2 linked regions of the Saccharomyces cerevisiae S288C genome follow. The protein of the gene in region 1 interacts with the protein of each later gene in a pairwise test. Each region holds a gene or a part of one and is shown in the gene's direction. Other genes may lie near its edges.

What was found. The genes of interacting proteins can lie anywhere in the genome.
Region 2: the proteins of ROD1 (region 1) and RCK2 interact in a two-hybrid assay, tested with the Saccharomyces cerevisiae proteins (one study listed by BioGRID).

Annotation. Positions count from the first base shown.
Region 1 is NC_001147.6:362,610-367,440, forward strand, and holds ROD1 (Rod1p), read left to right. Parts: upstream 1-1,759; coding exon 1,760-4,273; downstream 4,274-4,831. Other genes in the region: PET127 (Pet127p), read left to right, coding at 1-1,205. UniProt on the Saccharomyces cerevisiae protein: Mediates resistance to o-dinitrobenzene, calcium and zinc.
Region 2 is NC_001144.5:632,563-636,612, forward strand, and holds RCK2 (serine/threonine protein kinase RCK2), read left to right. Parts: upstream 1-1,689; coding exon 1,690-3,522; downstream 3,523-4,050. Other genes in the region: E3 ubiquitin-protein ligase IRC20, read right to left, coding at 1-792. UniProt on the Saccharomyces cerevisiae protein: Serine/threonine-protein kinase involved in a signal transduction pathway that is activated by changes in the osmolarity of the extracellular environment.

The DNA of each region.
Region 1 (4,831 bases):
TAAGATACGATTTATCACATGTAGAGAGTAATAACAACCAAACTGGATATGAGATAGATAAAGTTTATGGGGAATTTGAGTCTTTGGAAAGAGAATATTTTGAACTAATCAGGTCTGCCCTTCTAAAGTATTCTTTGCAAGCTAGAATTGGCAAAATGGACGGTATTTTCGTTGCATACCACAATATTTCTAAGATGTTTGGATTCCAATATCTACCTTTGGACGAATTAGATTATATAATCCATTCTTCGTATAACAGCAAATTCGACAGTTTGTTAAAGGAGAAGAATGATATCACAAAAGGGATATATGGTGAGGAGGACTACATTCTACACTATGACAGGGACGATAGGAAAATTGCTTGCTTGGTGGCTAATAGGGAATTTAAGATGTCTATGAATCTGTTCAGTAATATTTTGAAACACGTTGAGCAGTTACTTAACTCAAGTAATACGAAATGGGAAAAATGCAAAATAATGCTTAAAACCGAAGTTGAAGAAAAACGATCCAAAAGTGGCCGCTTCTTTAACGAACCGGTGCTAAATATTGTAGCCCTGCCGTTGTCACCTGAGTACGAGGATAAATCTTTATTGGTAAAGGATACTTCGAACGAACAATTAACAGAGGAGCTACTAAACCTCCGCTCATATAACGAAAATCTTTTGGAGGAACACCTGAATTCCTTAGTTGGATTTAAAGTAAATGTCAAGCATTTCTATCACCATCATCCTAATACTACACATCTACCTGATTTTGCTTTAAAAAAGAACGATATTCTCGACACCGAATCCCGTAAATATATTTCTGACATGATGAAACGAGACTGGTACAAAGATATACCATCTACACAGACTCCAAACTTTTTCCACGCTTCCGATGTTTCCACTTGGGAGGTGAACTCTACTTTTACAGATATCAATGACAAACAAATTTTACGAAAACTATACTTTAAATATTTGGATGTTAAATTAAACGCATTGAAAAATCAAGTAATCACACGTCAGGAACCTGATATGTCTAAAAAGGATGAAATTATGAATCGAATCAAATCACTACAAGCCCGCAATGATCACCGCGATAATGGAAGTAACAAAAGATATTCTAATTTTGGCCCTACCCGACTGCAAACTAAACTGCGCGCATATGCTAAAAAAGGTGCCCTTCGAAGAAAACTATTAGAAAGGAGTAACAAGTTCCATATCTAGAAGACAGTAGTCAGCGTTGGGCAATCTAATGTTATAGGTGAAGTTTTACTACTTTAATGTATTCACTCACAACTTTCGACCTTATGTAATTATTCTATGTATTTTTAGATATGTCCATACAATGCATTATTCTTGTAATTATAACACATATTAATTAAACAATGGGTCAAAAAGAGTCGAGTCCCTTGGTACATATTATGTTACATTACTGATTAAGTTGAATAAAAGCATCTAACTTTAAGGAATCTGCTTTATTTTGAAGACCGAAAACTACGAGTAAAAATAGGAGTTTTAATGCGGATGAATGTCTAACCCCAGAGATGGGTTCTCCGATAAAAACTGAGAAGCTTCCTGTTCACAGTTTTTATAAATTATTTTGTATGGCTGGGCTCTTGCAATTTTCAGCGTTTTTTTATTAAGCGAAAAAAACAGAACAGGGGTCCCCTATTCAAATATAGACGTCAAAAAGATGCAGATCTAAAACTAATTAACAACCATACAGAAATCAACGCGATTTCATCACACCATTCGCTTCTCTTCCTCCATAAGTAATAATGTTTTCATCATCATCTCGACCTTCAAAAGAGCCATTACTATTTGACATCAGACTTAGAAATTTGGACAATGATGTTTTACTGATAAAAGGCCCCCCTGATGAGGCATCTTCTGTCCTACTATCTGGAACTATAGTATTGTCAATTACTGAGCCAATTCAAATCAAGTCTTTGGCTTTGAGACTTTTTGGTAGGTTGAGACTAAATATTCCAACGGTTTTACAAACTGTTCATGGGCCGCATAAGCGATACTCAAAGTTTGAGAGAAACATATATTCTCATTTTTGGGATGATTTTAATATAAAAAGTTATTTCCAAAACTTGTACGATAATCATAATAATGGTAAAATAACAATTTCTAGTAAATCCTCAACAAATTTAGCAGCATTGCCAAAGAGAAAAAGAGCCCTTTCTACTGCATCATTGATATCAAGTAATGGGCAGACAAGCGCAAGCAAAAACTATCACACCTTAGTAAAAGGTAACTACGAATTCCCTTTCAGCGCGATTATTCCTGGGTCATTAGTGGAAAGTGTAGAAGGCCTACCAAATGCTGCCGTCACTTATGCTCTGGAAGCTACTATCGAGAGACCTAAGCAGCCCGACTTGATCTGTAAAAAACATCTAAGAGTTATTCGAACGTTAGCTATAGATGCAGTCGAGTTATCTGAAACAGTATCAGTGGATAACTCATGGCCTGAAAAAGTCGATTATACGATCTCCATTCCAACTAAGGCAATTGCCATTGGCTCTTCCACCATGATCAATATTTTAATTGTTCCTATATTAAAAGGATTGAAGTTAGGCCCTGTTAGGATCAGTTTGGTGGAAAATTCCCAGTATTGTGGTAGCTATGGAGGGGTTATCAACCAAGAAAGAATGGTGGCTAAATTAAAACTAAAAGATCCCCTGAAGCACGTTGCCCAAATAAAGAAGAAGAGGAGCCTAAATGAAGCTGCCGACGAAGGGGTTGATACGGACACAGGGGAATTTCAAGATAAATGGGAAGTTCGAGCTTTATTAAACATACCTGCAAGCCTGACTAAATGCTCCCAAGACTGTCGCATTTTATCTAATATCAAAGTCCGTCATAAGATCAAGTTCACTATAAGTTTACTCAATCCGGACGGTCATATTTCAGAATTGCGTGCGGCACTGCCTGTCCAATTATTCATTTCACCGTTTGTTCCAGTCAATGTAAAGACCTCCGATGTTATTGAAAGAACGCTCAAAACGTTTGGACCCTCATATCAAGTAACAAGTCAGCACGATAATTCATTCAGCAGCAAAAACTTTGTAGACGATAGTGAAGAAGATGTGATTTTTCAAAGATCTGCTTCTGCGTTACAATTGTCTTCAATGCCAACCATAGTATCTGGCTCTACTTTAAATATCAATAGTACTGATGCAGAGGCTACCGCAGTCGCTGACACAACTATGGTAACTAGTTTGATGGTACCTCCCAACTACGGCAATCACGTTTACGATCGAGTGTATGGCGAGGTAACTAATGAAGACGAAACTTCAGCATCAGCTTCTTCAAGTGCCGTCGAATCACAGGCAATTCACAATATTCAAAACCTATATATATCGGATAGTAACAATAGCAATAATCCTATTTTGGCACCAAATCCTCAAATCAAGATTGAAGATGATAGCCTAAATAATTGTGACTCTCGAGGGGACAGCGTTAACAATAGTAACCTGAATCTGGTTAATAGTAATCTAACAATTAGTGAAAATTGGAACAATAACTCTCCTTCTGCAAATAGATATAATAACATCATTAATGCTGGATTGAATAGTCCTTCACTGACACCAAGCTTTGCACATTTATCTAGGCGTAACTCATATAGTCGCCAAACATCTTCTACATCGCTGAAGAACGATTTGGAACTGACAGATTTAAGCAGAGTTCCCTCGTATGATAAAGCAATGAAATCTGATATGATTGGTGAGGATCTTCCACCGGCTTATCCCGAGGAAGAACTTGGAGTTCAAGAAAATAAAAAAATTGAACTAGAAAGGCCACAAATTCTTCATCACAAGTCTACATCCTCTTTGTTGCCACTTCCAGGCTCGAGCAAGAGTTCCAATAATCTGAAAAGATCGTCTAGTAGGACACATTTATCCCACTCTCCATTACCAAGGAATAATAGCGGATCCTCAGTATCATTGCAGCAGTTGGCGAGAAACAACACAGATAGTTCATTTAATCTAAATCTCTCTTTCACTTCAGCAAAAAGCAGCACAGGAAGCAGACATTTTCCGTTTAATATGACAACATCTTTCACTAGTAATTCAAGTTCCAAGAACAATTCACATTTTGATAAAACTGATTCTACATCTGACGCTAATAAGCCAAGAGAAGAGGAAAACTATACGAGCGCAACCCACAATCGAAGGTCACGCTCATCGTCAGTTCGGAGCAACAATAGCAACTCACCATTAAGACAAGGAACAGGTTCATTTGCTAATTTAATGGAGATGTTCACAAAACGGGATCGCTCATAGACTGCTTTATTTTTTGTCTTCGAAATTTCGACAAAAAGATATGAGCAATACTTCATACACGTTTGTACAGTTAAGCATATATACTTTGATAGAGTACTTTCATACCTCATACCACTTGAAAAATGATAATATAATGTTATAATACTACCTCATAATTGCTATAAAGTAAAACAATTCGGCGTTGTAGTTTATGCTTCTATAATCACAAAAAAATTTCACTGAAGTTGTCAGATTCTGCCGCAAGGCTTCTCATAGATTTTGTTAAGTGGTCTTACTCGGTTTTATGGCTTGAAGGTTAACATAATTATGAAAACTTATTGATATCCTCCCCACCCCTAACGTTTTAAAAATGATCTCGTCCAATATGTTTGAGGTGAATAATATCGGACCAGTTCTTGTTTTTAAAAGATAAGAATTGCTCATATTTCCCATACTTGTTGGAAAATTTCTCTCAACAATTGTATGAAGGCAAAATCCCTCAATTGAAACATTAAAATAGTGATTAGAAAAACAGGATTAATCAGTTATACGAACGTATTTTTGAGAGAATATAATGAG
Region 2 (4,050 bases), on another chromosome or scaffold:
TTGAGAAATAAATTGTTTTTGAATGAAGTTTGAATGGATATGGCTGTGCTTGTGATATCGCTCAAATTCGTTCTCGTCCCTATTAGAGAACGTCAAGTCCAGTATTTGGTTAGCCTCCACGGAAAACCGGTTGAATTTATTATTTAAAAACTTCAACTTCAAATTAAAAGATAAAACCCATGTTAAAGAGGAATCATTGTATCGGAATACGACTGGAGAGCATTCAAAATCTTTGTAGGACAAAGATAATTCGTGTATACGACTTTTTAGTAATTTTTCAGGATCGTTAACATTTGAATTTTTTTTTCTTCTCTTTCTTGATGGTTTGCGTTCTAAAGATTTACGATTTTCTAACTGATTTCGTAGGGCCCTTTCTTGGTTTTTATGAGCACATATATCCAAGATCAGCGGAAGTTGTTTGTCAACAGCGATTTTTGAATTGTTCTCCATTTTAAATCCAATTTGAAATAAGGATACGGAATCTGACGACACAACAAGTGTTGCCTCGTTATCATTTTCACAAGGTAAGATCTCTATATCAACAATAAATTTAAATAACTGCCTACCGTTGTTGGAAAGACTTATTCGCTCTGGTATTTCGATATTTACCGAGGCAACGTTGATTAATTCTTTTCCGTTCTTGCTAACTTTTTGAGTTACAGTCTCTTGTTCCTGATTTAGCGCTGGCAATGCTGCTATCACTGAATCAAAAGAACCATTTTCTAGGAAAAAGTCGCATTTTTCGGCAGTCACGTTGTACTCCCTTGCTAATAGCGCACCTACTGCAGACATTTACCGTCGAATAAGTTGGCCTTTCCTGGAGTTCATTCCTTTAGACAGCGCCTAGAAAGTGGCAAATCAATACATTCATCAGCCACATTTCATCAGCTGTAGATCTGGAAAAGACGGGTAGCAGTTCGAGTGTTCCGAAAAAGGAAAAAACGAGCCTTATCCTTGGTCAGAGATGCGAGCAGGTAATTCCTTGAGCTCTCATAGGAGTGAAGCTATCCCAGACTCCTTGGATGTCCCTGTATTTGCGGTCAAGTTTGTTCTTTGACTGGTTCGTCATTTCGAGCTCACTTAAAAACAGGAGTTATTCAGCTACATCTTCAAGCTAATAAAACATCCGTTGCGCAGGCACTCTTTTTAGTAGTTGCCATTTCCTTTATTCTTGAAAGTACGAAGGCTGAAAAAGAGCCACTACGATCCAAAAAATCACCGTTAGTTTTAGTCGTCCACGAGTACGTTGGCATAAAGTCTAGTAATCTTTTTACTTTATAGCAATCAAGAGAAAAAAGGAGGATAAAGGGACATTTATTTGTTATTGTTTTTTGTTCTTTTTAAACTTTTTTACTGGCTAGGTTTAAGGTTATAATTATAAATCCAGTGATTAAGAGGAAACCTCGTCAAGAATCCTAGATAATAGTAATCAGCGACAGTTATTTCAACGAAGTCAAACTCTATCTCTGGGGCTTTATCTCTCCTATTGACATCTAACTTTTTACAAACGCTTACTAGAAAAGACGGATCGGCCAAAGAAAAAAAAAGAGTGACATCGAAAAAATTAAAGAAAATAAAATCCCAGATAGTTCATACGTTATTTGAAGTACAAACATTTAACGATTGGAAAAGACGAAAGTATTGTTAAGAGTACTGCTTATTTAGAGAGGATCAAACAAAATCTCTTCGATGCTTAAAATAAAGGCCCTTTTCTCGAAAAAGAAACCGGATCAGGCAGATTTGTCTCAGGAATCTAAAAAACCATTCAAGGGTAAGACCAGGTCAAGCGGTACAAATAACAAAGATGTTTCCCAGATTACTTCTTCCCCTAAGAAAAGCTTTCAGGACAAAAATATAGTTCAGTACCCGAGTGTTGTCGCAGATGACCATCATATGAAGTCTTTAACCGATGAATTAGTAACCACGATAGACTCGGACTCTTCACCGAGTGATAATATTACCACGGAAAATGTGGAAACAGTTACTTCCGTGCCAGCTATCGATGTCCATGAAAGTAGTGAAGGTCAATTAAGTTCCGACCCCTTAATATCTGACGAATCTCTTTCGGAACAAAGCGAGATTATCAGTGATATCCAGGATGACAGTACTGATGATGACAATATGGAAGATGAAATTCCGGAAAAATCCTTCCTCGAACAAAAGGAATTGATAGGTTACAAGCTGATCAATAAAATCGGTGAAGGTGCTTTTTCAAAAGTCTTTAGAGCCATACCTGCTAAAAATAGTTCTAATGAATTTTTAACTAAAAACTATAAAGCTGTTGCCATTAAAGTTATCAAAAAGGCAGATTTATCCTCGATTAATGGTGATCATCGTAAGAAGGACAAAGGGAAGGACAGCACTAAAACTTCTTCCAGAGATCAAGTCTTGAAGGAAGTTGCACTACATAAGACGGTTTCCGCTGGTTGTTCACAAATTGTCGCGTTCATAGACTTCCAAGAAACAGATAGCTATTATTATATTATTCAAGAGTTACTAACCGGTGGGGAAATCTTCGGCGAAATTGTTAGGTTGACCTATTTCAGTGAAGATTTATCAAGGCATGTAATCAAACAATTAGCACTGGCTGTTAAACATATGCATTCACTAGGTGTAGTGCATCGTGATATAAAACCTGAGAATCTTCTTTTTGAACCGATTGAATTCACACGCTCTATAAAACCAAAATTGAGGAAATCGGATGATCCGCAAACAAAGGCAGACGAGGGAATTTTCACACCAGGAGTTGGTGGTGGTGGAATTGGTATAGTAAAACTAGCTGATTTTGGTTTGTCTAAACAAATATTTTCCAAGAACACCAAGACTCCTTGTGGTACAGTCGGTTACACTGCCCCTGAAGTTGTCAAAGATGAGCATTATTCTATGAAAGTGGATATGTGGGGGATTGGTTGCGTTTTGTACACAATGTTATGTGGGTTCCCGCCATTCTATGATGAGAAAATTGACACTTTAACTGAAAAAATATCAAGGGGTGAGTATACCTTTCTGAAACCTTGGTGGGATGAAATCAGCGCCGGTGCCAAGAATGCCGTGGCTAAGCTATTAGAACTAGAGCCGTCTAAAAGATACGACATTGACCAGTTTTTGGACGACCCATGGTTAAATACATTCGATTGTTTACCAAAGGAGGGCGAATCTTCACAAAAGAAAGCAGGTACTTCCGAAAGACGCCATCCGCATAAGAAACAATTCCAACTATTTCAAAGAGACTCCTCGCTACTGTTTTCACCAGCTGCTGTTGCTATGCGTGACGCCTTTGATATTGGTAATGCTGTGAAACGTACCGAAGAAGACCGTATGGGAACACGTGGAGGATTAGGCTCGCTTGCTGAGGACGAAGAATTGGAAGATAGTTACAGTGGCGCCCAAGGCGATGAACAGCTGGAACAAAATATGTTCCAATTAACGCTGGATACGTCCACGATTCTGCAAAGAAGAAAAAAAGTTCAAGAAAATGACGTAGGGCCTACAATTCCAATAAGCGCCACTATCAGGGAATAGCAACTTTCCCTTCTGTTTCAATCTTTTTACCTATTCCTTTTTAAAAGATATATATACATTAAACTCCTTCTACAAGTATATATTTTATACATATCTACAGGGCGTATATATACATAACATTTTAAGATAAGCAAGTGAATGTTGATTCCCGTTTCTTAGTCAACACTTCTTTCTATTTTACCCGGTCGTTACCCTATTAAAAAAACAACTTACAATCATTGTTCGCCCCTTCCATACTTACTGCCACTCGCAAAAGGGCCCAACCAGGGCAATTACGTATCAAAAAATCATGACAGGCTGGGTAATAAATATTCGTGAAGAAAGAAGAAATTAAAAAAAGAAACGAAGAAGCAAAAAAAAGAAAAGACTCCGTTTAATCACTTTCAACCGCGGTTTATCCGGCCCCACCCATGCATAACCCTAAATTATTAGATCACTTAGCACGTGAAAAAGAAACGTTTTTAATGTTTTTTTTTTTTTTTTCTTTTTCTTTTTTTGCGTTGGTGAAAATTTTTTCGCTTCCTCGAG